Drosophila melanogaster: one gene and its partners. Changing the gene in region 3 together with the main gene of any one other region gives a genetic interaction. Each region holds a gene or a part of one and is shown on either strand. Other genes may lie near its edges.

Evidence for each region.
Region 1: of vap (region 3) and Nf1, changing one suppresses a phenotype caused by changing the other (phenotypic suppression), as found in Drosophila melanogaster (2 studies listed by BioGRID).
Region 2: of vap (region 3) and RasGAP1, changing one suppresses a phenotype caused by changing the other (phenotypic suppression), as found in Drosophila melanogaster (one study listed by BioGRID).
Region 4: of vap (region 3) and spri, changing one suppresses a phenotype caused by changing the other (phenotypic suppression), as found in Drosophila melanogaster (2 studies listed by BioGRID).

Annotation. Positions count from the first base shown.
Region 1 is NT_033777.3:25,981,046-25,988,295, reverse strand, and holds the start of Nf1 (neurofibromin 1), read right to left. Parts: upstream 5,284-7,250; 5' UTR 5,005-5,283; coding exon 4,948-5,004; intron 4,705-4,947; coding exon 4,561-4,704; intron 4,462-4,560; coding exon 4,077-4,461; intron 4,022-4,076; coding exon 3,880-4,021; intron 3,824-3,879; coding exon 3,230-3,823; intron 3,169-3,229; coding exon 2,847-3,168; intron 2,785-2,846; coding exon 2,232-2,784; intron 2,178-2,231; coding exon 1,640-2,177; intron 1,585-1,639; coding exon 1-1,584. Other genes in the region: fid (fire dancer), read right to left, coding at 6,999-7,250.
Region 2 is NT_037436.4:9,850,682-9,857,864, forward strand, and holds the start of RasGAP1 (Ras GTPase activating protein 1), read right to left. Parts: upstream 4,605-7,183; 5' UTR 4,132-4,604; coding exon 3,984-4,131; intron 1-3,983. UniProt on the Drosophila melanogaster protein: Inhibitory regulator of the Ras-cyclic AMP pathway. May function as a negative regulator of Ras85D/Ras1 in the sev signaling pathway. Acts cell autonomously in cone cell precursors as a negative regulator of R7 photoreceptor cell determination.
Region 3 is NC_004354.4:15,998,649-16,008,915, forward strand, and holds vap (vacuolar peduncle), read right to left. Parts: upstream 7,165-10,267; 5' UTR 6,337-7,164; intron 5,797-6,336; exon of another isoform or gene 5,680-5,796; intron 5,439-5,679; 5' UTR 5,278-5,438; coding exon 5,067-5,277; intron 4,995-5,066; coding exon 4,881-4,994; intron 4,802-4,880; coding exon 4,729-4,801; intron 4,648-4,728; coding exon 4,238-4,647; intron 4,065-4,237; coding exon 3,215-4,064; intron 3,143-3,214; coding exon 2,236-3,142; intron 2,171-2,235; coding exon 2,020-2,170; intron 1,938-2,019; coding exon 1,789-1,937; 3' UTR 1,303-1,788; downstream 1-1,302. Other genes in the region: CG8939 (uncharacterized protein), read left to right, coding at 1-336, 398-990; CG12698 (uncharacterized protein), read left to right, coding at 7,579-7,779, 7,857-7,961, 8,029-8,172, 8,296-8,407, 8,459-8,592, 8,643-8,783, 8,852-9,028, 9,262-9,990.
Region 4 is NC_004354.4:10,581,156-10,588,321, forward strand, and holds the start of spri (sprint), read right to left. Parts: upstream 4,268-7,166; 5' UTR 3,755-4,267; intron 1-3,754. UniProt on the Drosophila melanogaster protein: Potential Ras effector protein. May function as a guanine nucleotide exchange (GEF), by exchanging bound GDP for free GTP.

The DNA of each region.
Region 1 (7,250 bases), on a different chromosome or scaffold from region 3:
GGATTGATGAACCGCAAGAAGATGACTGTGCCTACAGCACCGATATTGTTTTGAAGAAGATTCGGGAAGCGTTTGCTTAGCACTTGGTACAGGCAATGGCACATGGATCGCAGCTGCGGGGGAAAGCGATCCGACGAGTTGATAATAGCGTCAAACACCTTCTGCGTTAGGGCAATCAAGTTGTTCCTGTGCTGTTCAATATCTTCTGTTGGATCCAGACGAGCTGGATCCACCTCAAAACAGGTCTCCTCCTCCTCATCCAGAAGCGGACGAATTAAAGGCTCTAGTAGCATTTGGAGATAGCTCGCGCCGTATATTTTAAAGCAAAAGGCCATGATTTTGCTGCCCAAAGAATTTCCACGGAAAAGTGTCTGCATGCAGTCTGAGACCTCCACCTCGCGATAAAACATATTCCATAGGAGTGGCGATAACAGGTGTTTGGCGTCGAATAGGGTGACCAGAACCCTAGCCAGCTCGTCCATTTGGGATGTAGTCACCACATTAGCCAAAGCCATTGCTATGGGAAGTTCTCCTTTGTCGCTGATCATTGTAACAAGTTGGACCAGTTGCTCAAATCGATCAGCTAAAACAGTTTCGGCCAAGGTATCGAATTCGGTGCCTTGTTGCAGGATTTGAGTCAACACCTCCATGAAAGCGGCACGCGTTTGCAAATCAGGATTATAACCCAGATCGATGGAGTGCATCAAACCAGAGTCAATGTTGGCACCCAACAAATTAGACATGGCTAGAATAGTGGCATTTCGCAGAGCGGTCAGTTTTCCAGCTGCCATTCGAGGGCGCGGAGGCAATAGTGGGGTATTATTCATTTCCTTCTCCGCCTCGGAGCTATCGATGCAATCATTCAGCAGGTTCATAAATAGGGTAAAGTACTTTAAAAAGAGCGCACTCTTTGCATCCATCAAATCGCCTCGATCCGATTCCTCAGGCTGAAGGGGAAGGCCCCGAAGCAAGGCAGCCACTGCCTCCATGCAGGCTTGGTCTAGATCGCGAAATATGAGGGATGTGTTGGTAAGAATAGCGGCATCCGCCGAGCTGGGCGGTGCAATCTGATGGGAGGTGCCCATCACCCAGTCGGTCAAGTATTCAACCAGTTTATTCCGGAACTTCATCTCCTGGCGAAAGGCGAGGTCGTCGCGTCGCTTCATCATTACTTCCACAAGCTGGCACAATTTTGTCTTGATTCGAATGGCATAAACAGTCATATCCAGGTGGCGAACGTAGCGCACTATTCCTAGCATCATGCCTTCGATGCTTGTAACACCTAAATGTTCCGATGGCGAGGGTTGATCGTTGTTGGGATCCTTGTTGGCTTTGGGATCCAGAATTGATTTCATTATGTAGATGGTGTGCTCGATAAACTGCGTGTTGATGTCGGTCACATTGACGTTCACCTGACCTTGCTGATCGAAGAACTTCTCCACGATGGCTCTAACCTGGTCGAAGAGTATAGGATACAGTTGGGTGGACATCTCCTCGCCCACCAGTTCCTTCACATTTTTCTGAATATTAAGTCCAATTTTTTCGTTGCTGCAAACTAACAGGCGCAATAGTTGGCCCACGAATCTAAATTAAAGTTATAGGTTATATATGGGACATGTTAAAATAAATAAAACCTTACTGTGTTACAGGACAATAGCTGACATCTTGTGGCGGTGCTGGGGGAAGAGTGGATAGTGAAACCGTGCTAGGATGCAGAGAGCCATGTCCAGAACTTGTGGAGCTTGAGTAAAGAGAGTTTTGAGCAAGTGATCCCAAAGAAGCATTGTTCTGTGATTGCTGCAGCAGCATTTGACGACTGCTGCTACGTTTATGAAGGCAGACGCCACCCAAGGCTAATAGAAACCATGTCATATTGGCCCATTCATTAATTTGTTCCTCCAAATCGTGCTCTGAGCTTTGGTGACTCGCTCGCCGCTTGCCCATGCCACGATGGAAAACCTCCGCTTGGCCATCTTCTCCTTTACATTTGGGGTACGTTTGCAAAACCTTGCTGGATACTTCCCAGTTGCGGAAGGTTTCCTCCCAGGCGGGCTGAACACCATGAACACAGTGCTCGATCTTGCGCAATAGGGTCATTATGCGCTTTTGAAGTGTAAGACGGCTCAGCACATTGCCGTGCGTGTTGTCAAAAAAGCAAATGCGAGAGTCCGTTGCAGCTAAAACGAAATTATTATTAATAAAAATATGTATGATGAATTTACCAAACTCACATGTGGACAACTGAGCCAGCTCCTGGTAAATGTGGTAATTCGGCATAATAAATCCGACTGTCAATTCATCAGAACTGCAGCAAATCTCAGCCTCCTCGCATAGTAGTCCAAAACACGATAGCGATGTCAGCACCGCATCTAAATCAACACTCCACAGGTACATGAAGAAAACAACTTCCATCTTAATGTGAGCCTGCTTGCAAATGGCAATCTGACTTCCCACATGTGCATAATCCTTGTGTCGCTGAAGAAAAGTATTCCGACAGATGAGGATCTCGCGTAGCCACTTTAAGACATCAGTGTAATTGGCAATTTGGTGTTGAATGAGCTTTTGCGAGATTGAAAACAGTACTTGGGAGCTAACGTCCCAGAACGTATTGATCGGAGCCTCTGGATTCCAAACCTCTATTTTCTCCGGGGCGTGCAGAGCAAGCAGCGCCTCCATAGCCTCTTGTGCCACATCGGGCATGGTAGTTTGATGCACCAAACTAACTAAGCCGTTGATGAGCTCCAATGTGGAGCTCTGCACTTCATGTGCCACTTTTCCTTGGGTCTATATTACAAAACAATTGTTAAATATGAGACTATTATCGATCAAATTATCAAATAACTCACATTCAACAAAAGCGTGGGATCTGCATGAATTAGCCGTACGAGTAGCAGTAATAGCATTTTGTGGGCGGGACCCTCTTCAGCGCGGGTTAAACCTTTCTGGGTATCTTTAGATTTGAGCGTCAGGGAGGTTATGTAGCGCAGTGGCGTATGGGCTATATAACCCTGGGTGGCCTTGTTGAGCGTATCCGTAAACAAAGCTCGTAGCTCAGCAGAACGGTAGTGAACCACATCCGTTTGCGGCCACCAAGACAATCTCGGTTGGTTTACTATTCGAAAGGGGTTCTTGTTCTGCAAACGGAAGTCAACGTATATGTGAGCCAACCTATAATGGAAAGTATACATGTAAAAGTCAAGAGTTTTATATAGCTACCCAAGTAAATTACCTTAGCAGAGAGCACACAATTACAAAATGGTAAGCCTGCGGCGAGGACAAATTCAGGCAAACCTTTAGAGCCTCGATGTTGTGAGGATTAATCCGGAAACAAGACACCCAGCAGTCAATCATCAGCTCGATATCAGCGAAGTTGTACCCCTGACCGCGCGAAAAGGGCTTTGCTGGATTAAAGAGCAGTGCCTTGAGATCGTTGATAAAGAATTGCACCAACTTGAAGACCACATTATTGGAGTCGGTGTTGTTGATGTAGGTGGATGCTTTGCACAGCTTTACACAGGCAATTGCCGCAGATTCGGTCACCTGTTTGGATGGTGAGTGCTGGCCCAAGCCTCTCTTGATACTCTCGATGAACTGCTTGGCCGAGAAGTCCTTGTCCCGGGACGTGGATTGCGCTGACTTCGAGGCAACCTTTTCCTTGTCCTTTTCCTTCTCTTTCTCCGACTGCTGAAGTTCGTTAACAACAGCCTCAAGGCAAGAGGGATTCAATATCAGCAAGAGCATTTGAAGCGGCCAAACAAGAGTCTTGCTTTTCTTGTTTTCGGTTTTAAAGTACTCTACAAAGTCCATCAGGGGTTCCCAGCAGCTAAACGAAACAGGATCAATTAATGTGACTTTAAAAACGCTTGTAATTCCTCTTACGTTGATATATCTCGATTGGTTCCTCGTTGCAAGTCCTGGAACTCTTGTGGATGGTACTCGATCCAGTTCCAAATAGCCTTCTCCAGCGAGTAAAGCAAGATCAAAGGTGGAGCACGCTTCGATCGAAACTTTGTGATGGTTTCTGGAAACGTAAAACGTTGTTTAACCTTTCCGAAATATTAAAAAAGTTAGTTTACCTTGTAGCAGCTTGGTTAGCTTTATCATATCCATATCGATGTGTTGAATTAATTCTATGTCGTTGTAGTCCGGGTTTTCCTCGGAACAGGATGTCAGCTCTTGAATCCTGGCCGATATGCGATTGAACACCGCCGAGAAGTGATTCTGGGACAAGGCAAAGAGCACCTTGGATGCCAGGGCCTTGAGCTGGGCGGCATTCGGATTGCTGTCGCTCTGGACGTCGACAAACTGGGAGATCTCGCGCAGCAGAAGCTTCACATTCATGGCCTCTTCAAAACGTGCTGTGTCCTTGGTCTGGTTGGTCAGACAGCGTTCCAGAGTGGTCAGTATGATGACCAGCGACTCAAAGTAGCAACGCTCTGGCTCATGGCGATTTTGAAGGGCCTGCAATGAAATTTTTGTTTAAGTAATTTAATCGTATCCTAGCCCCATAAAATAAGGCAACATAGTTTAAGGGTTAACAATAGAGAATGGAGTACTTACCGCCTCATTGACCCTCTGCAGCATCTTGGTGAGACCGGATATGACAAGGGAGAAGCGGTAGCGCGATATGTGGATCAGACAGGCCACCAATTGGTCCTGGCTCATCCTGGCCTGCGTGCCATAGGCACCGATTCTGTTTGGCAGCTGAAAAAGTAAACCATTGATTGCTCAATTCCACTTCATTCATGCGGGAACCGGTGTTTTTGTTATTGTTGCTATCTCGCTCTCCCACGCATTTGATTGAGAGCTCACACTGACAGAGCGGGTGAGGCACGCACACTCGCAAGGTCGCTGTGAGCATGTGTGGGGGAGGAAGAGGCAGAGCAGCAGGTACATTTTTTCGCTTGCGAAAACGCAACTGCGGAAAAGCGATTGGAAAACACTTGCCTGATCCTCGAAACGTGCCAAAAGGGCGCTAGCCCACTCGCCTGGCTTCTGGGTCATCTTGTTGTGGTGTTTTAACAGTTGTTTATGCGTTTTTTACTGCATTTCAGCAACTAAATAGGGCAGCTTTTCGTTGAGCTTGGGGAGTGGCAATTGGTTGAGTGGCATCTTTGTTCGTTATCCTTGGTGTTTTTTTCAGTTCCTGAGACGTTCACTTCCTTCTCTTCCAACAATTTGGATGGTTTGGCTTTACAAAACGGGCACTGTTTCTTTTTTTATGGGAATTTTCTAAGGGCTTACAGGCTGTTATTTGGATGTTTATATTGTGTGTGTACCGCCTTCCATTTCTTTCACAATACCGAAACGCTTTTATAAGTGATAACAATTACATCCTATCGATATATCGCTTATTTTCAAATAGTGATGGCATCAGACCAACTAGTACTGAATTCATTAGGGTGACCATAAGCCACAAGTAAATGCGCGCGCTCACAGGAGCGTTTAAAAATTCCAAAAATATTTGGCCTTCATTTCGTTCTATCTCATTTGATGCTATTATTTTATATGGTCTAAGTGTTCCAATTAGAAATATAAATGATTTTTAAAACAGATTCAGTTCAGTAAGTATTATTAGTTTATTTAATGTTGTTGTTAATGCATTACAAATTATCAATATTAAATATTTCAGATGGTTTTGTAGCTTGGGTTTTGAGTTAATTCCGTTTGAGTGTGCCTGTTTGGCTCTGTGCAAATTATACATATTTTCCAGCAATACTTAATGTTTATAATGTTTCAGCATTTCGAGCAGTAATAGGTTCAAATCGAGTTCTATCTGTTGTAATTTAGTGTTGCGTCCAACGTTAGTTAATATTTATTCAATTGTTCTATTATTTTACGGTATAAAGTTAGTTTAGCTAGCTAAAAAACACATGTACAGTCGCATATAGGTATATATATGTATATATTTGGTTTTATTGAAAATGTTTGCGTTATTTTTCAAATAACCCTTCTTAAGCTGACAAAAATTTGAGTTTAGGCATAGGCTTATGTTACAATCGTCTTATTGGCCGTTTTTGGGAAGTGAGTTGGGTACTTTATCCAATCAATTAAAGTAAATAAAAAAGTGCTTTAAAAAGGTGAAAAATTTATATATGTGGAAAATTGTGAGCTTGCGGAAAGAGTTTCTTAAACTGTTTTGTGTATATATTTTTGATTTTACTTTGCATTCGATATATGTACGGTTTTCTCATAGATTTAAATGCAGTTATTGATATTTTTAGAGGGTTCTATTAACTTTGCAGTTTTAAGGAGTGTATACATGCACGTACATAGTTGCTATATTACTTTGTTCTAGCTGCTTAACTGGTATCTTGATTTTCTCTTGTATAAGTGGTATATGTTGGCTGCAATGGACGTTTGATGATTATTCGCTTCGAAATTATAGCATAAAGTGCTTGAAACTTAGTCTGCAGATAGCGCAAGATACAAACAGATGATCGTTGTAAATAGAATATGCTCGTATAACTAGTAAGATTTGTATTTAGCTTGCGTTGTTTCGTTATCGCATTCGATTCGATTGGTTTCGTTCTTACAGCTAAGTTTTCCTTTGAAATTGGATTTCAATGCAGTGCAATCCTGCGTTCGCGTCCTTGAGCAGGCCTGCTAACAATAAATTAGTGCTGGATAGCAGGACGGGCCTTCCCCGCCCCGCACCGCCAGCCGACTAGAGTAATAGACTAAATTTAACAATTCCTTTGGGGGCATCAGATCAGAGACTACAGCTAGGAAATGGGCATTTGTTTTAGATCAGGGATTCAAACGGGTAAACGGGTACGCCTTGAAAAAATCAAAAAAGCTGCTTGGATTTTGAATGTCCTAAAAAGATATTCAAGTGTTTTTGTAGAGCAACTTAAAATGTATTAGATGCGTATAAAAAAATGTAATTCAAAGTAATTTAACGTATATCCTTTAAATATTTGGTATACATGCTTCGGTCCCAGTAATAGCAAATAAACTTAAGTTTCGTTTCGAATCCCCGTTTGAGAGTTGGGTGCTTAGATGGTCCACACCTGAACCTTCTCGGCCACCACACACCAGCTGGCCCGCTCGTAGTAGGAGCTAACGATGTGCAGGCTGGCCACATGGTGGTTGATCAGTGCGTCCAGCTCGCCCTCGCGGAACACATGGTAGTAGCGGTGGTGTGTGCTGGCTCCGCCCTGGGAGGGGCTGTCCAGGGAGTTGGTGGAGCTGTTCGAGTGCTCCAGGGAATCGTTGGAGGGACGCTGCTGGAGATTCGGTGCCTGGTT
Region 2 (7,183 bases), on a different chromosome or scaffold from region 3:
TCTTCAACTCGAGTGGTTTAGGCGCATCTAACGACGTCAAACGATCCCTCGTTTCCCATTAAAAATCTTGTCCCCAGCCTTAGACAATTCTTGGCCCCTGACATTTCCGCTGTGGTGTTACCTTTTGAGAAACCACCACTAAAACCACAATAAACGACACTTGAAACGAGCCAGCGAAGCGCACAAATTGTGGCTCAAAATTAATAACGCAGCTCGGCCCGAAAAAAAGTGATATAAAAAAACAGAATTCATTTTAATTACAAATTACAAGAGACTGACTGTCCGATGGAACTGAGCAGAGGAGCACGACTTAGATCAGTTAAGCTCCAAAGAAGCGCCACAATAAAAACAGAAAAATTGAAGTTGCAGCGTGAAGTTCAAAGCCTTGAGAGGCGGTAGACTCGATCCGGACGACAACTGACCCACCCGGTGTTCCACAGATGCCTCTGACCCCTGATGAAGTCAACAACATCAAAGTAAATGCGAGGAGGTCAAGCGTTAAGTCATAAAAAAAGCCCCCCCCCCCCTAAAAAGGGAAAAATGGGGAAATGCGAGTATGTATAACATTATAACATGCTGCTGCCTCATTGTGGAAAGCCACAGATAAATGTTAATCATCACAGGCAGAGTCATCAACGTCATCGTTGTCATTGCGATTGTGATTCCCTTTTGCCCACTGATACACAGAAAAAAAAGAGATTTACTGCTTGATTTAAAGATCTCTATGCATTCAATATTAACTAGGAATAAAGTGTACTTGTACTAATGATCTTCCACTATTTAGAAGAATCTGCTCTTCACTTAGAATATAGATCATACATAATTTCCAAAACGATCTCATTTTTTTTGCTGTGCCTTATAACCTCAAGAACGCCGACTTCGACCTGAATAAAAAGTATTTTAGAATGCGCTAATTACATAAAAACGCTGGTTCCTTGAAAGCGGCAAACAAAGTTGTCGGGACAAACAAACCTCGGCGAATGAGCCACCGGCCTTTGGGCTAATTAACATTGTTCCCCCGGCCATATTTTCAAATGAAAATATTCCACTTTAATTGTGGCTCAAGCTAAACCATATATATATATGTATATATACAAACTTGTATTAGAAAAATGATTTAAAGACACGACCCGAGAACTAATTGTCAACATCGCCTTGGCGTCCACCGAGTACGAACCATCTAGAAATGTTCCATGCGATCTTTGGCTCGTTCAATTGCAACCAGTTTTGGCCCGGTTGAAGAGAGGCGAGGAAAACGAGATGGAAAACTGGCAACCAACTGGAGAACAAGACAGCAAAGCACAGCACAGCACACCACAAGTACAAACACAACCGGCTTTTAATTAATTACCTTTTTTGGCCAAACTATTTATTGTTGTTACAGAACTCTAAACAGCACAGAACTGAACTGAATTGAACTGAACAAAGTCGAGTCCATGTTAACTAGATATCTCTGTTCTGGGTCTTCAAGTTCAACGAAATCTGTATTGCGTGTGGTCCGCGGCGAATAGTGAGTAATAATTCCTCAGTTAAAATGTCATTGATATTCAAAGGGAGATCGATAGTGAGTCACACCCTCGTTATCATTCTAAATGAAATTTAGGTTATGCGCTAAACATTTTAATTAAGTGGAAAAGTATTACGCCAATTTTGGACGGACGTTTCGTGTAGAAATCGCAACGAGCAACAAAATGGAAATGGAAAGCCCCCACAACAATAGCAACAAAAGCGAAACTCCGTGTGTAATTGAAACTGAGCACGATGTGGAAGTATTATTATTAAGCATGCAAAGCATAATGAAGTGGAAATATGATACTTGGGAGAAGAATGCAGGGTGTACATACATATACATACATAGATATGTATAGCGCTTATAACGATATATAAATACGTACATATATCACGTTATAAAGCGGATGGGAAAGAAGCTGACTGTTGATGGGCAATAGAGGTGACACAGCAGCTAATGTGCTATAATGATGCGATAATCAATGATGATTATGGGAAATGAATAACTTTCATTCTTCAATCATTAGAAAACGTGATCGTGAGCCGTTTGAAATCGCATTTCTATATCTTTAGTAGAGTTTTTAAGAGGGAAAACTATAAATAAATAATAGTGAGTTCCCAATAATACTTCTATAAAACTAGAGAATATGGTTAAATTTCCTGCTCGATAGGTATTCCCGATCCATAACACAGCATTTTTTAACATTTTAGAGGCATTTTTGAATGGCAATTCCTTTAGATATGGTGTTGTGTAATAACTACTCAGGATTTTTAATGAGATCAGATATGTATCTTGGGAAGCTGTGGTCGATCCTTAACGGAATTTTTGCAGGTAAAGAGGGTAAACATGAACCACAAAGGCGAACGAATGAAATGGAGGTAAAAAGGTGACAGCTAATTTGCCATAACAACCCGATAATCGAAGGAAGTGCATAACTTTCGTTCTTCAATCAGCGCAGAAACGTGTTTTAATTCATTTTTAACCAATATTGTGCCATCTTCTTCGCAGAACCCAAAAGGGTTAAAGCAGCTGGAGAAAGAAGGGAATGTGGCAAAAGGAAGTGTCGAGAGGAGAGGAGGGTGCGAAGAGAAGATCCCGACAAAGACAGAGGCGCATGCGAAAACAATTGAAGCGTGCAAAAAGCAGTTGAAGAGGGGAAGACACGGAAAAAAAGAAGAGCAACTGAAAAAAGCAAGAGTTTTATGGCCGGAGAAAAAGAACACAAAACCGCAACACACGAAGGGAAACTCTGGGCGCTGGGAAACGGAAATCAAAAGCGGCAAGGCAACAATGTTGTTGCAGCTTTGCATATAATTTATGTTGAAAAAGCATAGCAAAAGCTGCTTATGAGTTGCGAGATTGAAAATGTGAGAAGCAGAAGAGGTAAAAATAAATGCGTGTGCAGGTGTGAAAATGAGATCACGGGAACTTTTGAACCCCCCCCCCCCCTCCCCGCACAGTACACACAGCCAGTGGTTATTCATAATTCTGTTTTACTTTTTATGTTTCAACAGGAAATGTAAAACCACCAAAAAACAACCGCAAGTTTATTTTTCGTCTATCTCTTGCAGTCTGCTTCGCTCTCGCTTCAGAATGAAGTGGATGGCAGAATGGAGAGGAAAAGTGAGAGAGCGTCATTCATTCATTTGACCTCTTGCCAATATATAGTAGGCCATTAATCGATGCTCTTTTCGCTTGTTGCTTTTGATAATCATTCATAAAACAGACACCTTCGTATTGAGAAAAGTACACCGAATTCGAAAATTCCATTCATAAAAAAACCCACACATTGTTGCTGGGATCTCTCTGCCGCTTGTGTGTGTGCGTTTGTCGCGTGTGTGTGAGCATGCGCTGGAGCGTCTCACAGACACATGCTTGATTTCCGATTCATTCACAAAAAGGGGCGCATTCAAAACTGCGGGGGGTGTGCTGGGCGATGAAGGAGGAAGAGCGGTTCTGGGGGTGGGTCAAGAAGCGAATGCCGTAACATTCAGCCTGGTCATCCATTACTTCTCAAACGGCAGCAACAACAAATGTATTGCACTGCTGCTGCACGAAAAAAAAACACACACACACAGGGAAAAAGGCAACAGAAACACACACGCACAGAGCAACACGCGAGTCAGAGCGGGACAGCATGCTTATACACTTGAACGCAATATGCATTTCTAGAACAAAAACACATTTGTTTTCTCAATTAATCGACTTTCTTTGCCTCAACTCGCACAAATTTCGGTTTGCCATTAGATTACACAACATTTTGGAAAACTTTTAGACATATTCTCCCGATTCTATGTTGTTTTCTGCTTGGAAGAGGCTCCGCGGGGCAAACGGCGACGCTGTCAAAATTCCAGCACACTTTGGAACATAAAAAACGCACGTTGCTGCGCGTATTTCACTCAACGTTCATGCCACGCATGTTCTTCGACATATTTTTGATGTTTTTGAACGATTTCGCACTCGATTTACATACCAATTTTCACTTTTAATTGCTCTTCAATGCGCACTTCGCGTGTATCGGCCATTTTGTTGTTGTTGCTGCTTGGCTCGACGGCGACGGGCGAGTTAATATTATTGTCGTCTCGCTCGTCGAACATATAGCGCTTCTTCTTCAGCAGCATTGTGCGCTTAAAGCAGCCAGCTTTTTGTCAGCTACCCACTGGGGAACTTGCAACACGCGATTGGAAATTTATCTAACTCCTTCACTCGATCTTCACGAAACTTTAATAACTCGAAATTATTTGTTTTTCTTTAACAGGTTTATTAGCCGGCTATTTGCATTTGAATTTCATCACTCGCTGCAGCGTTGCATTGTGCATTGAGCTGGTGTGACGGGAATATGAGTCGATTTGCCGCTCACGAAATGCACTTTCCCTGTTGCTTCAGGGCTCGACTGATTTTAGTATTTCGTTTTAACTACAAACTGTTTTTTGCACGCACTAGCAGACGTGGGATTATATTATCGAAGTATGGAAAGTAATTCGGTTGCTTGAATCAGAATCGCAAAAACTTGGTTCTCCGAGTTTATTTGCTTTGCGGGTTTACACGCATCCGCGAACAACCTTTCGAAGCGGAATCAGAACTAGAGTGACCGTAGCGAGACGGTTGTATGACTCCAACGAATTAGTGTGACCTTAGCACGGTGCCCCGAAAATACCACGGGAAACGCAAATGATTAATGTTTGCTTAATAATTTGTTTGAAGCAGATATGTTTTAAAATAATTTTTTTATTTTATTCAACAACGGCTTATGCTTATTAAGTTAAGCACAACAGTAAGGTTTTCATTAAAAATGTTTAAGTTTAATTTCGATATTTCACCAGTTCTGGCTATCGAATATATATCGTTAGCTCCAACAAACAGTTATATATTTTGTAATTTATTTAAAATTGATTATTATTAAACACTGAATTTTTGGTTTTTTTTATTTTAACTTGAGGTTTAATTGATGTTTTTATTAATTCCGATTGGTTTTTAGTTGCTTAACTTTGAAACACACTCCGAATTACGAACGTGTTGCAGGTCGGCCGAAATGGAACTGAATTAAAATTTCCAAGCGGCAAGTGTACACATGCACCTCCCAAAAATTTTGTGAATGAAAACGCACACACGCAGCAGCGGTCACCTACACTTAAACACACACACATGTTGCACCGGCGCCACCAACAGCGGAAACAACCGAAGATCGCCGGCAGAGAAAGTCGAGGCATATGCGACTTAAGAAGGGCGGTACAAAGCAATAAAAAACCCTGTTTTGTTTATGATCGATCGTTAAGGAATTATATCAGAAAGCAATGTTTATTTTTAAATTCAACCAGTTTAAGATTCATATCTATTCCAATAACCATGTATCAATAGCTAGTTATGCTTAGCAAAGTAAGTAAAAATCAAATGCCCGGCTGTTTATACCGTAGCGCACATTACGTGGGCGTTCTGGATCGCAGACAGTCCACAGGAACCCGAGGAACTACATAGTACACACATATGTACATTAAAAGTACACAAATATTCAGAAACAAGGCAGTGAAATGTGAAATTCACACGGCATCCGGACAGCAACGCCGCTTATGTTTTTCTTTACGCATATGTTGCTTCTGCTCCTTGCCTTGGAAACCACATGCATCACAACAACAACAAGAACAACAACTGGCAGGGAGAGATCAACAAGTGAGGCGGTGCATCTTATCACAACTGCCGCCAATAAGTGGAAGTGGTCGGGTCAACATTTCGGATGGTTGCTCGGCTGGGTTTCATTGTTTTCGTATGCCCTGCATTTGATCTAGTCACTTCAACTGCACTGAGCAAAATAATTGTATATAAAATAAATTATAATTGTAAATACTATAACACAGTTATAGTTTATAGTAATTGTAATAATTTAAAGAGACTTATCGAAAATTAACATTTCCCTTTAGTATATGCTTTTAAAGTGTATCATAATATTTGTTAAGAACGTTCACAATGCTATTTTCTGTGTAGCGTGCGTAACGACCATTTGAATATGTTGATCATTTCGCTCAACGAAACGTAACCGACGTGGGAAGAAGAGGAGACAGGGCTTTTCTTCTTTTTTTCCGTTTCCAGCTGTCCACTCGATTCCTCCTCCTCCTCCATTTGCCCCGCCCACAAAATTCGAAGCTAGGCGCAGATGTTATAAATATAGTATTTTGTGGCATTTCCATTCGTATGAATGGGTCTACGAGTTTCGGTTTCAGGTTTTTGGGCCTGTTTATAAACCCACTCCTCCCATATTTTCTCATATTTATGTCCGGAAAAGTGTTTTGGTCATTTGTCTAGCTTCCGTTATTATTTCGTTATGAATGAAAAACCCATTTGGACCGGGTTTTTTGATCTCCCTAATTTACAACATTTATTTAGTATTAACTCGATCTTGACGTCAATATGGGTTCGTAAACTTCGTTTACTATTTGCGTCGTGAACAAGTTTCTTAAAACGTTTAGTTTTTCTTATCCACCTCATGTTAATGTGAAGTTTACACATAAATACTCATAAAAGACCCCAATGTGGGTTTTCCTAATCGCACTTTGAATACATTTAAACGGCAAGAGGAAAAGGCTGTTAAATAGATTTATAGATGATTTTCAAGCTTCGATTTTTTTTGTTGAATTTATGGATTTTAAAATATATACCAATCAAGGGCAATTAGTATATCAAAACCGTTTGTCATAATGCATTAATAGACTTGGCAACACCAAACTTATGTTAAAATGAAGTTTCAAGTTGTATCTAAGTAGAAACGTTTTCAGTTTGATTTTCTGAAAAGGATTTTCTAGATTATTTGATTGTCAGATCCTCACCACAAACCAGATTCACTCAGAAGTCCTCTCAGTTATTTAGTTACAGATTTCGGCTTGATCTGCGGATTAAGTCAAATGGCCGTTTGGTTTTTCGTTTATTGTTCAGAGAGTGTTTACACGCATATGGTTTTTTTTTTTGTTATAGTATACAATAGACACTTAACGATTTCCAAGTAATGTAGTCATTTAGTTAAATGTAATGTAGCAAATTGTTAGGTGTCCTCTTGAGTTGCGATTGCATCATTATTACATAACTTGATTTCTTTTTGTTTTTGGCGCGCTAAACGTAAAGCTTAAAATGTAATCATGTTTGTTGATTGTTTGCATAAACAATAAGCCTTAAATGAAATACTTA
Region 3 (10,267 bases):
ATCCGCTGATTAAATCCAATGATTTCCGTGACAAAAACACCAAGCGAGAGCAACGCGTACAGCTGTGGTACGAGAAGGATGTACTACAGAATATCCAGTCGGATGACGACGAGGAAACCTACGATCTGAACAATCTGGCCAAGGAATTCAAGGCCAAGGGTGTCGCCGTTCTGGGTGAGAGCACCCTAACGCCGGACGCCAACGAGGAGGTTGTCCAGGGTAAGAAGGCCAAACGTCGTGCACGCCATGAGACCGCAACTAAAGACAGCAGCTCAGAGTCATCCGAATCCGAGGATGACGCTAACGAGGATAGCGACGGCGAACAGCCAGCTGCAGGTGAGTTCAAAATAAGCATTTAATATTCCTAAACCTAATATTCTCGTTTGCTTTTTATCAGGTACAAATGCCAAGAAGGTTCGCCTGTCCGAAAACGAAATGGCTTTGGGCGCACTGCTGACACGCAGCAAGAAGACACGCCGTGACTTGATCGACGCAGCCTGGAATCGCTACGCTTTCAACGATGAGAACGTTCCCGTTTGGTTCAAGCTCGATGAGGACGAGCATATGACCAAGCCAACACCGGTGCCGAAGGAGCTGACCGCCGAGTACCAGCGCAAGTTGCAGGAGGTGAACGTGCGTCCGATCAAGAAGGTCATGGAGGCCAAGGCGCGCAAGCATCGTCGTGCCACGAAACGCTTGGCCAAGGCTAAGAAGATGGCCGAAAAGATTATGGAGAACAGCGATGCCACCAACCACGAGAAGTCCAAGCAACTGAAGAAGGTGTACAAGAAGGCTCAGGAGAAGAAGAAGGAGGTCACATATGTGGTGGCCAAGAAGCAGACAGCAGCTCGACGCGCACGTCGTCCAGCTGGCGTCAAGGGTCGCTATAAGGTCGTCGATCCGCGCGAGAAGAAGGACAAGCGGTCAATGGATGCAAAGAAGAGGCGCGAAAAGGGTTCGAAGGGTCGCAAGGGGAAGGGGCGTAAATAAATGTAAATCTAAAAAATAAATATGTAATATTTTATAGATACTAAATATATATATAAAACGAATCAGGTAGTTTTTTTTTTCTTTGAATATGATTTTATACACTTAAAATAAGAAATCAGATGCGAAACTGCAAATATAAACGCAAAACTGTTGTTTCCTTTGAAGAATATATGTATTTATATTAAATTCAGCTGACTATTGACTTTTCCATGCCCATTGCAACGCCTTTAAGTGCGAAGAAATTCGAAAAAAAAACATTTTTCAGCTGCAAGAAACCGAAAGGGAGCCATTCAAAAACACAGTGTATGTTTTCAGAGGAAGTCTTTTGCACTCTTTTTGAATTCTTTAATTTATTTCGATTTTATGCGTTATTTCAAAAAAAAATGTATTGACTTTTGGATAAATGCCGTGCATTTGGACGCCAACTGCCATTTGACGTTGGTAATGCACTAATAAATTTTAAACAATATCGAAAGCAAAACCATTTTGAATATCTGAGTTTGCGGCTATACGGAGTAATCCGTGTAAGCTAGTGTATTATAGGTTATTTTTAATTTGTAATAATAATAATAAATAAATGCATACCGGTCTGTTAAATATTATTTCATTTCCATATAAATAATTTTATAAATGAGATGCTGTTTACTATTCCAATACAATTCAACCAGTTATTTTGAGTTCTTATTTTATGTATTCTAATAGTATACACATATAAATATTTTTATAAAAAGGTATGAAGGGACTTGTAGATAAGAAGACATCGCTTTTTTTTATTATCCGCTCTCCTCGCAATTGATTTTAGCTGATCATCTCGCGATACTTCAGCTTGTGTTTGGTCAGCATGTCCGTCACTGTGACCAGCTTCTTAATTGAAAGTATGTTGGATAGCTCGTGCAGTTCTTGCGAATGAGATACGCAGATGTGATGCAAGGTAGCCAGCTCGCGTCCTGCAGGAATTATAAAAGAAATCATTGTATATTTAATAATATAACAGCGCCAAATAGAAAACATGAGCTGACAAATAATTACCAGTGTCTTGTGAATTCAGATTTGTACTTTGTTCGACAAACATTCCAAGCGGTTGGTTCGGATCGTTCACCGAGGACAGTTGATCCAAGAAAACAATCATACGCTCCTTGTTCTTCAAGATAAACGGATTGACAACCTCCATGTATTGTTCCTAAAAATGAAAAAGAAATCGAATTTATTTTGGTAATCACATAACTGAGTCGAATCGATACGCACCTTGCCGCCGAATTCAATCAAGTTGGCCAGATTCTGCAGACACTTGGCGACCATGACCAAAGATCGTGTTGCTGCCATCGGTGGCGTCTCGCTGACCAATCCAAATTGGCGTGGATTGAGCAGCGCTGGGCACAGAAGGCGCAAGAATATAAAGCCAGAGACGACGCGTGTGCGAACGAGCCGCTCTGTCGGCCATTTGGCCATCACAGCCTTCTGAAGACAGCTGCAAATGAAACGCACGTTGCGTGGACAGGCGTCCGGTGAAGTGAATATCGACTGGGTGACCAGATCGAGGATTTGCAATAGAAACTCGGCATTCGTACAGGCATCATCGTTGACGTCCATTTTCGTGGGATTCAATTCAGCCGACTGCTTGCTCTCCAAAATGCGCTGCACGGTTTCGCTGACGGCCGATTGCAGGAAGCCGCTGCATTCGGTGCGCATATATAGATCCATTAGGGTGGTGGCCAAGGATGCGCCACGGAAAAGCGTTGTGGTTTCGTTTTCGCGCGTCACCTCCGCTTGGCACAGCATTCGAATTAGTTCCGTTTCCCGTTTCTCCTGCCTAAAGACTCGCAACAGAGCCGTGGCCAAAGGAACCCGATCATTATGGCACAATTCAGCCAGCGCCTTCACAGCATACAGCTCCGATTCGAGGAGCAATTGCTGCAGAGGACTGTACTCTTCACACGGCATTATCAGATCGTCGAGGTAGCGCATACGCAATCGTAGCGAGCCCCATTCACCCATCGGCGTCATGCCAGTGAGTTGGTACCAGCCCTCGGTTTCCTGGCCATTCTTTAGACTAGACAAGTCAATGGTTAGCTCAGCCACTTCGGAGTCCTTACCGCGTTTGCCGCGCGATATTAATGTTATGGTTAGGGAGACAACATCTGGCGGAACATCGCTGCAAGCAAGCAAGTTACAAACATATATTATTCGATAAGTTATCAAATAGGCGAAGGAATGGTAGACTTACTCTAGCACAAACTCCTCTTCCCAAACGGGTTCGGGTGCAATTTTGACACGAGTTTTGCCCACTTTGACTTGATTGAGGGAAATACTGCAGTATGGATGTGGCACTAGTTTAAATGGTAATCGATGAGCTTCCAGCACATGCAGATTAAGACAACGAAGCTCACGAAGGCGTGATACCTTCTTCTGGGCACGACTCAGCTGGGAATCGCATTGTGCCTTGAGCGAATTAATCCACTCCACGTAGCTTTCCTGACTAGGAGCACACAGATACGTCACTGTGGCCAAGCATGGCAGGGCCCTTTCGACAATTTGGAAGCAATAGGGACGCTCCCACAGCGAATCGTGACATTGATAGAGGTAAGCACAGGACAAATCGATCAGACCCTTCGGTTTGGTCTTCTTCGGATTGTCGTAGAAGCATAGTTGCGTCTCGGAACCATCGTTGATTAAAGCGAAATAGAGTTGCTTCCATTTCGTCGTTTTGTCCGACTTCTTGTTCAAATGGCCGTGATGTTTGATTCCCTTGATCTTTTTGAGACCGATTTGGTCACGACACTCGCGCAATGTTGCGTAGATCTTTTCAGCGGCCTTTTCCACAACATATTGCTGATTGAACTCGGGCTGAATGCCATTGACAACTGGATGGTTCAGTGAGTGGCCCTCCACAATTTGCTCTTTGCGATATCGATTTATAACCGCATCCAAGCATTCGAATGTACGACCGCCCATTAAATAGCGCACGCCTTTCTTTTCAATACGAAAGCGTTGGATTTGATTGTTTATATGAAAGAATAGAGAGTAATCCCCCGGTGAGTTGTCACTTGGGCGAACGAGGAAACTTCCTGGTCCAGCTGTTAGGATGAAAAAATGTGTTTCAATTACATACATATAGCAACAGAGAAAAGTCGAAAATATCGATTGTAGGCGTCACTAGAAGAAGCTCAAAATTCTAAGGATTCATCTCGTGAATCTCGGGAAAGCTTGCTTTCCTTACTTGTAGGTACCTTAAACTAATAATACACACCTTTAACCAACATATCGACGGCTTCGTTTTTGGTGCAGTTGGGATGGAACCAGGGAAACACCGTATTTGGATCGATAGATACATCCAGATCGTCAACAAGTTCTCTGAATATCATTCCCTGCTCGCCCGTACGATGGGCAGTCACCCACAACCAGCCATCGCCCATGTCATTGTGTACAAAAAAGATATCACCTTTCTGGAAACTCAGTTCATCGGTCTCTGGCATTTTTGTGTAAGGCAGGATGGCTACGACGCGTTTCTTATCATTAACTGGCTCCGGCGGAGCAACTGGTATGGCCAAGCGTTCGCGTTTCAGTAGATCACTACATGAGGTATAGTAACCAACCAAGTCGCTTAAGGAAATGAATTGTCGTCCTCCGATATAGAAGTCTCCGCACACAGCTGTAATCCTATGTTAACGATACAACATACATATATAAAAAATCATTCAAAACAATGGCATTTAATGGGTATCTTAACCTATTACTTACCGAAAATGATTTATGCCGGTGCGGCCATAATAACTCAGAACATAGGAGCCAGGTTTGCGGTCACTTTCGCGAACTGCTCAGCATTAAAAAAAGAACACAAAGGTATTTATTTAGTAATACTTTCTCACCTTCGAATACCATCTTATACACACCTAAATAGCTGCCCAGTTTACTGCTTCCGCGTAGGCGAGACTCTGCAGAGTAGCGATCGAGTCGTCCATGGTACCATTCGCTTTCCGGAGGAGCAATAATCGCTGGACGTTCACCTGCGTTTGGAGTTTGCAAGGAAAATTAGTTATCGATCGAACTACAATGTATGGGCATGTAACTTTACTTACCATTCAGCATATGTGGTCCATCGAATTCATCGTGATCCAATTCCTGAGCCAAGTCACCCAAGTCGATGCCGCCAGGTGCCATTATGCCACCCAATCCGGTCATGCCACCCAGCCCCGCAAGATTCCCATCATCCGAACAGCCCGTTGGCGATCCGGGCTTATCTTTCTGGATGACAACATCAATGTTTCCCAAATGTATTAGGTCCGCCATTGTTAGGCTTATGATCTCTGTTCAGCAAATGCGAGTCTTAGTCTATATTTAACTTCGAGTGGAATTCGATTTAATAAAAGCCACATATAGCAATGATAAGAATGCGTTTAACTGAGGAGATACGTTAACTTTTGTGACTGTGTGGGGTTTTCCGTGCTAAACTGTAAGAAGACCAGATAAAAACACTTAGCTGCCTTACTTTGATTACAATACGAAAATCATATTTGATAAAAATCAGAAATCAGATTAGAGAGTCACTAATAGAATCAAATGCTTAACTAAACCAAGATATGTCTAAAACCATTCACTAAAAACGCCCCGAGAGATTTGTTAGTTCTAGTTTCCGCTTTCTAATGCTATTAAATATAGATAATGGAAAATAATTCGGAATTCGGGGCTTACCGTGAAATCATTTTCTTTGCCATATCGGTGGTGGTAATCTCACAAAAACAAATTGGAATAGATTCGCTATAAGTGTCCAAAACAAAATTCGGGTCCAATGTTACGAAAGTTGAGGATCTAACAAATAATTTAACAACGTATGCAAAATTGTGGGGCAAGAATACATCACACCTACACTAAATACGATTAAACCTAAGCCTATTGGTAAAACAAGAAATTTACTAATAGGCGCTATTACAACCGATTACAACCAGCACCAGAAACCGGGTTTATTAATTAGAATATAGAGACAATGCTACTTTATATCCAAAACCATATTTAAAAGCAATTAACGACGTAGACTTCGCAGTAAACTAAATGAAAGATAAGATGGACAGCACATCCATCAGCTGTTTGCGCTTTGTTTACTTTTACAGATAACAAATCAATTGTGATTGTTTCAGTCAGTAATATAGGAGTGTAGTGAACCCACAGCTTAGACAACAAAAAACCATACAACTTTAAGATCTTTAAGTTGTTTCTTCTATAAAGATTTTCATCTTAGAATCTGTATATTGATTCTATACGTTTTCAATGTGTATGGATAAGGAAAATTGTCTATTCCATTTCTTTGATATTTTAAACGGTTTTTCATCGAATTATTAAATAAACATTTACCTCTGGACGAATTAAGCTGTGAGCCACTGTACATATGTACATATTGCTCTTTGAAATCGCCGGGCGACTGACTTTCTTACATATGCGCAGACATTTTTAGGATATTTCGAGTTGTATGAAAGTACAAGTTACTTATGAATTGTAACACCGTATATATACTTTATGTACATTGGTATATATATAGGAATATGCTGCACCCTCTTGTACATCAACATCTATCTAAAACACAAGCGATTTATATGAGCCGCACACCACACACAAACTTTAGGCTAAGCCCTTTTTGCCAAACGAGCCGAACACAAAAAAATTCATTCGGTTCTTTTCTTCATACATACACGACCCGAAGAGTCATCATATCATCATCATCATCAACACCATCTCATCATCATCAACATCGTCATCACCGTCGCCGTCTTTATCATACTCCTCTCAAGCGGGGTAATTACTGCCCATTTGATTCACAATTTCTGGGCTGTGTTCGGTTTGTGATTCCTTTGTAAATGAATCATTAGCACAACCATTTAATTCTCTCTCATATGGGTAACAAAAAATACAAAAAAAAAAAAAATAAAACCATTTACACAGAACATTAATCGGTTAATGCGCATGTGTAAATATTTTCCTCTATATACTTTACATTGCACTGCAGCACCGAGCTAAAAAAACAAATCGCGCTGCTGGGAATTGCCGTCTTTTATTTGCTCAACTTGTGTTATTCATAACAATTGCATATTTAAAACGAACTAAAATTTCTTCCGTACCGATAGCCACAGAATTCAATTGTGCGCAGTGTGAACGTAGTGAATCATCGAAATATACCACACACCCAACTTATCGGACGAATGTATGTGCGTCAAGATAGCGCCAGAGAGTACAGCTCGAATAAGAAATCGATTATAAACGATAAGCCAATTTAAGATATAATATTTTAAAGAAAAAACAAACGCAAATAATATTTATTCAGCATTTGAATGTACATTTCTTAAATGAAAAGCTAATATGTGTTGAAATTACAAAAGATGATTTAAACACTTTGAAAATAACACATGTTTTTTGTGCGCACGAAAACCGTTAGCCGTCAAAATCTGAAATGGGGTAAAATTAAGTTTATATATTTTCATATTTTCAAGCTTATTTAGACAGCAGGCGGCAGCCCGAATCTTTGTCATTCGAATACTATTATATGGACACAATACTCTGAACTGAACAGTTCGACATCAGTGGGATTTAGAAGGCATAATCATGTCCAAGCGCCAACGCGATGTTCACGATGGCGCTGGAAAGAAAATAGCCAAGATTCGGTTTAAGAAGCTCATCCGATCCGTGATACTGAATATGCAGTGGCTAAGTGAGCTGCCCGAGGAGGGTGGAATATCGCTGAATGTGAAGAAGAACGTTGCCATGCTGCGACAGAAGCGCAAAGTGGGCATGATGACCATGGCCGTAAGTCCAACGAACCTCTTCTTTCATATCAAGGCTAGCTCAAGAGTTTATTCCTTTTTGTGTTTGCTTAATTGCAGGAGAAATCGCTGCTGCGCACTCCACATGCTAAGCGTTCCGTCGATGAGAGGAAAAAGCTCTGCACCATTGTGGCAAATCTGGCTTGCTTTTCAAAATTTCCGCCAGTGAGTAGCGCGCTGATCATTTGTACATATGTATAATATTACTTATCCGACCTGTTACCCCTTTTAGAAAGTCCGCGCCCGTCTTGTTCCGATTGTCAAATTCATGGCAATATCTCCCGGGCGTATTGTTATGAAGGAGGAGGATTTTCCCGTAACCATTTATTTTATAATCGCCGGTGAGGTGGAAATGTCTAAGAACATATATAAAAAGGTAAACTATTCAAATTATATATAATACTTTCTAATATGCTTTGCATAGTTATAGCTACAATTTTTCAATTATGCCTTATTAAATATATATGCTTTTTTATTTGAAAAATGGTATATTTCTTAGGGCTCCAGTCGTCCTACCGTACAAACGGAGGCCATTTTTGGACCCGGGGATTGCATTGGTGATATTGACGTGATGGAAGATACACCCAGAACCAACACTTATATCGCCACAAGTAAATCGATTCGTTTGTTTCTTGACACCTAATCGCATTTGATTCTTTCAGCTTATTGCGAACTCCTGGCTATATTCAATACGAACTATAAAATTGTTCTTCTACCGTTTATGCAAAAGATGTGGCAGGAAAAGAAGGATGCTCTGCGGGCCCTTGACTATTTTGACTTTCTCAACGAAGAACAGGTAAGTATAATAGTAGATAAAAAGAAATTATAATATAACTTGTTTGTAAGATTGTAAATGCCAGTAAGTATGGAACAATTCAGCAATTCGAGCCCTTGGAGACGATCTACACCGAAGACTTGGGTACCATGAGCTATGTCTATTTTGTCCTTAGCGGGGAATGCGTGGTGCTACAATGCCTTCACATGAAGGTGTGCTATCTGCTAGAAATCTCGAATTTGACAGAAATATGCATATAGTATCGTTTTATCCATCACAGGTCAATATGGTGAACCGGGAAAAGGTGTTCCAGCTGCCAAACATTTATAATCTCAAAACTGGACCTCTCCTGGATGATGACACAGGTCCAAACGATAACGAGCCGCTCTTTGATATTAACGAGTACGTGCAATCCACCTCATCGCTGGATGAAAACGAACAGAGCAAGAAAAGGAAGGTGAGCTCTAAATTAAGTATCAGTATCATAAAATGAAAAAAATTCGCGACACGTTCACCATATACAATCATTTTTGTATATAACTTTGTATACAAGTTATATATCCCTTTTTCGCATCCAGATACGGAATCTGTGCATCGTTATCAACCAAATCGTTTGGATCTTAACAATTCAATTTCAATTTTAAATATGACTTTTTTGTAACACAGCGTGCTTCTTTTCTTATTTGGCAGCTGCGCAAAATGGGACTTCAGGAGATACAGCGACTCTGCGACGAAATAAAGAAACCAGTATCTAGGAGATCCACCAAGGAATCAGCACGCCAACGGCTGCGATTGCGACAGCGTGGGCGGGACGCGGAACGTCAGATAACGCGAAAGCATTATGAGTTCTACCTAATGGGCATGGGTGGTGAATCAGGCAACATATCTGAGGATCTTAGCGAGGAATTATATAGTGATACTTCTGATATGCCGACAATTTCAACAGTCGCCAGCGCCGAATTCGAGAGCGAATCGGAGGGTTCCGAAATATTCACTGCTTCCAGTACTTCGGAACAGGGAAATGTCGAAGAAACGGTCAGTCAGGAAGGTTTTGAAACGCATTTCATTGACGTCGGCTCGCTGACATTCGGGGGAATTTTTGGATTGGGCGAGAAAATGGAACATCGTGTGATTATGGCAAGGACCACGGTGCAATGCATCGTGATACCACGCTTTTGGCTTTTTGAGCCCGCCCAAAATCCTGGTAACTTCTGGCAGCGTCAGCGTTTCTACATCGAGTGCAATATTCCAACCAGGGAGGATTTGTTCAAGGACTTTATCAAGACACGAAAATGGGAAAGATTCAGACGTGACTATATCAGTAGCATACTTAATAACGAATCATTGGCCAACTTTACAAAGCATGAAGATATACCGATAATAAGTCACATTGTGGAGACAAAATCTGACGACAATTAAGTTCGTCTTCAATTTACTTGCCACTTGAATATATTTATACATTTCCAACTTTAAAGCATTATTAAATCATTAGTATTGTTTTCAAAATTCCTTGAGGGTAGAGAATTGTTCGATTTGAATACACAAATATTTGTGTTTGAAATTTAATAAAAAGGCACTTGGGTATTATAGCTTGGATTTGTTAAAAACTAAAGTGAAATTGATCGATTTTTCGGTTGGGAACATGTTTTTTTTATAAGATTGTATTGAACTACGTATATGTTTGGCCGCGTTAAAA
Region 4 (7,166 bases), 5.4 Mb from region 3:
ATGCAGCAAAGTATCGTTTATCTGCCGTAACGTATACGCATACACTGCGGCGTATCTATATCTGTAGATACGGGCAATGCAGATCGCGTTGACCAAGGTCAGTTAGCGAGTGGTTAGACCAGCTTCGCATAAGCTCGGTTGAAGTATCTAATCGATAGGATTCATAGCTTTTCGATGGCTTTCTGATCGGACGAAAGAGGCGGCTTTTACTTTCCTCTAGACACAGTGAAAACTCAACGAAACCAGCAAACCAACAAACCGAACTGACGGAGACACAATACAATGACGACAGTTTGCATGGACAACAGACGCAACCAGGACAGCCAACACAACCCAACCAACCATACATATCATATCATATCAGCAGCCGTGGGCAAACAGAACGCACCAAAAAAAAAAAAAAAAAAAAAAAAAAAACAACTCAAAATGGTTTGGGTAGAGGACACCGACCAGATGATACCCCTTACCCTTTAGTTACTACATGTCCACAAATCCATTAAGCAATATATCCAATACGAAAACGAGTGAAAACTTTTGGAAACTGAGTTCCTAAAATAGAAATCACTGTATCCAATAATTTGTATTTGATTCGCCAAGATCTTTGCCCAAAAACCTTCTCTATATACAATGGCATGTTGCCCCAAGAGCCGCATACCACATTTCCGCATGGATCACTGGGTATGAAGGAAACATTTTGTTTGCAGCAGCGCATGGCAACCGAGAAGTGGCACCAACTTGCTGAAATCTTGAGGCGTCCAACGCAGAAGGAGGCGAACTAGATGAGGGACAGTAGGCGGACGAATTGGAATACGACTACGAATGCGACTACGAATGCGAAGGCCTTGTTTATGAATACGCGGGCATTGTCTGAATGCGAGATGTGAGGCATGGCACAACCAGGAAGAGGTGGATATGGATGTGGATGTGGATGCGAAGGAGAATTGGCTGGCCAAAAAGATACACAGCAAATATAGATACTTCTGCGGTCACAAACACACGTACAGATAAAGATACAGATACAGATACATTTTCAGAAACAGAAAACGATGCAGATATGGATCCAACACGGCCGTGTGTGTCTGTCTGTGTTTGGAAACTAAACAAGAAAATATTGACATATAGATTAAGACTTATTAAGGGAGCTCGAGCTTGGTAGTCGACATCAGATCGCTGGGAATGCCGACGCGAAAAATGAAAAGAAGCGAACAACTCTGATGGAGAAATGTGGCATGTTGCATGTAGCATGTGTAGTATGTAGTATGTAGTATGTGGCATGTCGCGTGGGGTGACATGTTGCCCGATCTGCCGTCTGCCACAAAAACACGTGCACTCACTCGCAAATACTCATATATATGTACAAAGATATGTATAAAGATATAGGAGCCCAGATACAGATACTGTGCCACTTGAATTGAGGCAGGTTCAGCCCGCCGCACACTCATGGCCAATATTTGCCAGCAAATATGGTCGAAATCTATATTTAGACACTTACGAACCGCGAATCAACTGATCGATTCCCATCCAACGATCTCGATCTCCCTTCCCAATAATAAAAACAGAGAGAAGACAGAAAACCGGAGCGTATCGCTGTTAACTGGCTTTCTATTGGAACAGTTGGGCGCAGCGGTTAGCTGTTGATAGCCGAAAGCAAAACAAAGTCGAAACAAAAACAAGAGTGCGACTTTCAGACCTCGAGACTCTTGGCCAACTATTTTGGCTGCCGCTGCGCCCACATGGTAGCTCAACTGGTGCTAAAAAGTGATCGCCAAAAAATGATCGCACCGCCAATGCAGCGCATTAGTCAAAGCTGACTTTTTTGGCAATTTTTTTTTTTTTTGGTATTTTGTTATTTAATCTCTGTTTTTTTTTTCTTGCCATCGAATAATTTTAACTCGACATTGCGGCATTTCGTGTGTGGGTGAGAAAAGTTTGGTGGGGAATTTAGCTGAGATCATTCAGTAGGGCTAAGGACTTATAAGCATAGTCAATAATCATCGGAAATTATAGCGATTTTATTTGAGTGTGATCATCTATCAGTCAATGAATTGGTATTCACAGAGATCACTTGATAATCATGAGTTGTATCCATTAAGTGGACAAATTAGTTAGTTCAGTGAGTGATATGATATGATAAATTAATTCTAAGAACTACTAAAAAGATATTAACTGGAAAGAGCCCGAAGAAAGGAAATGGTATCCCAAAAATATCTGGGCACATACGTTTGTATGTATATGATGGGATCGCAACGATTCCTACGTGTATTTAAATGACCATCGCGATAAGCCAAAAAAGCCAAAATATACGAGTGGGATTAGTGGGCATATACAGATGCGATGTTCCCATGCTGAGCGACGAGGATCATTAGCGAAGTAAACCACTGACGATCGCTATCATAATACTGGCATGGCAAACATACGTACGTACAGAGATACCTGGCTGACTGACTGACCAGCGAAAGCAACCCATTGATAAGACCGCTACAGTGGACTATCTAAACCTAATAGCTGTGACAACCGCAAATTGCATGAGGAATACCATATCGACCGGAGGGGTAGTACCGCAGGGTAGGGGAATGTACAGGTAGTGGGACACAGGTAATGACAATAAACATTCTCCACTTATCAGCAATCCGCTGATGCACGCACACAGAGCGAAAATTAGGGCACGTTTCACGCACACCACGGTTTTGGATATTATGTTAGATAATATAGATTATAATTGTTATACCATTTTGCTCTATTTATATATTTTTATATCTTAAGAATGCCTAATTAGTCAATAGTAATAGTAGACCTTGTTTGCTCTGTGCACTTGTGGTTAAGGAAATATTGAGATGATGTTGCGGTTTTGGTTTAGACTTGGAGCTCAGACTTAAGTTTTGGGTTTTTGCCTTTTGATTTTTCGTTTTTTTTTTTTGGCATGCGATAAGACTCGAGACAAAGCCAATTTCCCGCCGATTTCATTGGAAAGATATGGAGTATAGGGGGTTATACATATGTGCTAGCAACAGCTGATTAGCCATTTGAGCAATTTGCAGCACAATCCGTACACATTATCAAAATTTGAGCCGTTTATCATCAGGTGCGTGAAAGCAAGAGGGCGGTGCCCGATGAGGTGAGGAAATGACAACGGCGACAGGAATGCGAATGCGAATATACGAATGCGAATGCGATTGTATGTATGAATGGTATGTAGATGTACGATGGGTATATATGGTAGGTGCTATAAGGTGGCCTGCGAATACCTGGCCGATTAGCAATCCACTGTCAAAATGCATTGAAAGCGAAAGACGACACTAAAGGAAACAGGGACCAAGGGTGCAATGTACCGAGTGTGTAAACCGAAGAGAACCAGGCACAATGTAAAGAAATCCAACGCACTTTTGGCGAGAAAGACAAAAGAGCTTTTCACTCAGAAAAAAAAAAGAATAGTTGTACAGCAGTAATTATTACTATTTATTTAAAGTTAGGTTTTAATCTTTTTCCAAAGATATTGTACAAAGATTTAGTATGATAACCCAAACTGGGAGCAATTAATGGCCAATCCAAATTCACCATCTCGAGTGTGCACTGTATTTTCTTCGAGTGAAAGAAGGGCAAGCGATCAAGAGAGATAGAGTGAGAAGAGAGAGCGGGTGGAAGAGCGAAAAAAGGAGTCCGCGTGGTCGGTGAACTTGAACTTGTGAAAGGATGGGGGAACTACCGGTAAGTGGCTTTATGGATGGGCTACGATCATCACTTTCAATTAAATTACCAGGGGAACGCCAATGCCGCCAAAAGTCGCAACCCGGGAGCCTAGGAACTGGGAATCTCTAGTTCTGAAGATCTCAAGATCTCTGGAACCTGCTCCAATTTTTGTGCGCACTCGCACTCACTCGCCGACAAACTTCACTTCACTTTTCGCACTTAACTCGGCTGCTGTTGTTGTTGTTGTTACAAAACAATTAAATATAAATAACAACGTTGTAGCGCAAATAAAAAAAATTAAACAAAAAAAAATAAATAAAGACCGGGGGAAAAATATAAAAAAAAAGATGTGTATTTAATTGAGCGCGACACGCAGTGATCTTGTGCGACACAATATTATTTTACTTGAGTTGCAGCACAATTTCAATTCTCGCGATCGCCTTACGACTACGGGACTACGGCTTTACGGATTCCGAAGATTACGGGTTCAATTTCTTCTCCACAATTCTCCTTCAGCGAACGAACGAACGAACAACCGACCGACCGACCGACCGTTTGTGGCCGAGTGCGAACTCGAACTAAACTGAACTGAACTGAAGCCGCCGACAAAACGAAGATCGTCGCCGGCAGCAACAACTCGCTGCGATAATAGCAGCAGCAACAACAACAGCAACAACACAAGCAAAATTACGAGATGCGAAACGATGGCGCACAGTGGTCACACTCCTACTGAAAACTCTCCATTCAGTTGATGGATAATGTTAAAAGTTCTTTGCGCCACAAGATATGTATATGAATCTAAACTATTTATCAATAATAAAAGTATATTAAGAGGTATTTTTAACTTAACAGCACAATGGTCGAAGAGTTAAGGAAAGTTGTATCATATGTTTACAGAACATGTTAACAGCACTTTACTCCACAAGATATATGAAACCATGGAGTAATAGCTTAATAGTTAAACTATATTAAAAAAGAACTTAAACTTAACTCTATTGTGGTCACATGTCAGTCATAAGATCTTACATTTTTCAATATATTAATTACAACCATTTACCCAACCATACTAATTTATGAAAGTATAATATCAAAACTATAATATAATGTATTAAGCAAACTTTACGCTTACTCATAGATCATTGTTGTCACTGTGGTTAACATAGGTTGTAAGGAAGATAGCAAAGTTTTTAACTTTGTTAAAGAAATATTTAATATTAAAGTTTATTCTTCTGCTACTAAGTCAACTTACTGTATTAAAAGTTTCCTAAACTATTCTTTCCGTAAATTAACAATGTTTTAAAATGGAAATTACTATGAATGCAATGGATTGTTATATTGGTGTTTTACGGTTACAAAATTTTCTTTAAAAAAGCGCGGAGTTGGCAAAAAATAAATATTGCTCACCAAAGTGAATTATTAAACGGCAGGTGCTGATTTACTTTCGATTTTGGAAAAGGTGCTTGTAATTATCAAAAATTTATGCTGTCCCAATTTAATTAAACGTGTAATGCAAAATAAGCTTATATTGTTTAAAACAAGTTATAGCTGAAAGCCAAAGCTATGGCACATGGAAATCTAAAATGGTTGTTTTGCAATATATCAGTAATATTTTTTCACATGGTACTGCTGACCAAATCAATATTTCTTGCTGTAAAATGAGACTTTTAATTGTCGGAAAATTATGACACCCATAAATTTTAATTAGCAATCTGTTCTTTTTGTCTTTCGTTGTTTGGTTTTAGCTGGAAATTGAATGCACAGACTTTGGTTCACAATCTTAACAGATTCTCTTGAAAATTATCTTTTATCAGTTTTACTATCGTATATGAATAAGTATTTATATTAAAAGATATATTATTGTGCTTAACCCGGTTATATCTTGTTAAGAGGGCGACGTGTTTGTTTCGCTTGATTTGCAGCTTTGTTTGCTATGTGATCGCATTTTTTGCTCGCACTTATTAATTTTTTTTTTTTACAATTCACCTTGTATTGCCAGCCACAAACAATTTGAAAACGCGAAAACTGTCGATGACCGATAAGCAATTGTCGATTACCGATTAGCGTTTTGACTTCTGGAATTGGAAAGAAGCTTCTGATTTCTGATTTTTCACCTTTTTTTTAGCCCTTCCATTTCGAAATTCAGGTTTTCTTGACAGACCCCCATACCCGCCCCATTTGTCGTGTTGTTCTTCTTGTTGTTGTAAAGTGCCATTGTGTCGTGTCGTCGATCTCATTCGCAAATTATCTTTGTTTGCGAAATTGTAATTGTTTTTGCCGTGCACAATTCAGCAAGAAACCGAAGAAAAGGGCTGGTCTCGAAGTCACATTACCCTCTGATAGTTATTATTCCTTCACCTGCGATCTTGACCATCTCAAAAATTAAAAAAAAAAAAAAATGGTAAATAAATATATGAAAATTCATAACTAGATAAATTATAACTTTATAATAAATTATAACAGGTCGGAAAAATAGAATTAAAACGCTGATTATCATAGATGCCCTCAAAATATCGATGCTTACCATAGATGTCCTCAAAAAAACCAAAGATCGATGATTTTTTTTCAGTGCAAGTGGAGTGCTCAACAGCGGCAGCTTCACTATTGTTGTACTCGATAATGGCTTTTCTGTTCACTTTTTTACTCGTCCCCAAAAGCGGGGCGTGTTCGTTGCTTTGTGCTTTTGTTTTGTTGGTGGAGCTGCTTAGCTATTATTTTTGTTTTATTATTTTGTAATACCTTGACATAGGGTATTTAAATATTATGCAGAACTTCAAATGACCTGTCCGAACGGTGCATACACTATTTCTGTTTTTAATAACTTTTCAACACCTTTCCGGTGGTAACAGAGATTTTCAGTGTTTCCAAGCTAAGTTTAAAACATACATTTTCTTGGGTAAAGAACCTACATATCTCGAAAATCTATGGACCCACAACTACACTACCTGTAAACTTTTTTCTGGACCGTGTCCCAGTAGCAACACATTGAAGTATGCTCTGAGTCTGAGTTTCAGATTGCGATTCCTATTCCGATTCTGGGTTTTGTGTGGGTTGGCGACTGTCATTAAATAGTTTGCTTTTCGCTTTTTACTATAACTACTTCTCTGCTCTATTGTTTTTATGTTCTCTTTTATGCATTTGTTTTGCCTAACAATAAACGATGGGTGAACAACAAATGAAACACATGAAAGCGAAAATAGCAACTAAAACAGCAGTTCAATTAACTCTTTTTGTGAGAAATAAGTGCAATCAGATTTGGATTATAGACCAAAGTGTAGGGCATAACTTGATAGCTAACTCTTGATTTGTATTAAATAAGTTACTTTTTGAGTTCTGTGACAGAAAGTCGCCTACTATGCTATGAATCTTTTGAGTTCGCCTAACAATAGCTTTCAAATGGTAAGTGCTATTTTCCTATTCACTCTCGACGGAGAATGAATGACCGACCGACCGACCGCACAATCGTCCGATTAAGTGGCTCA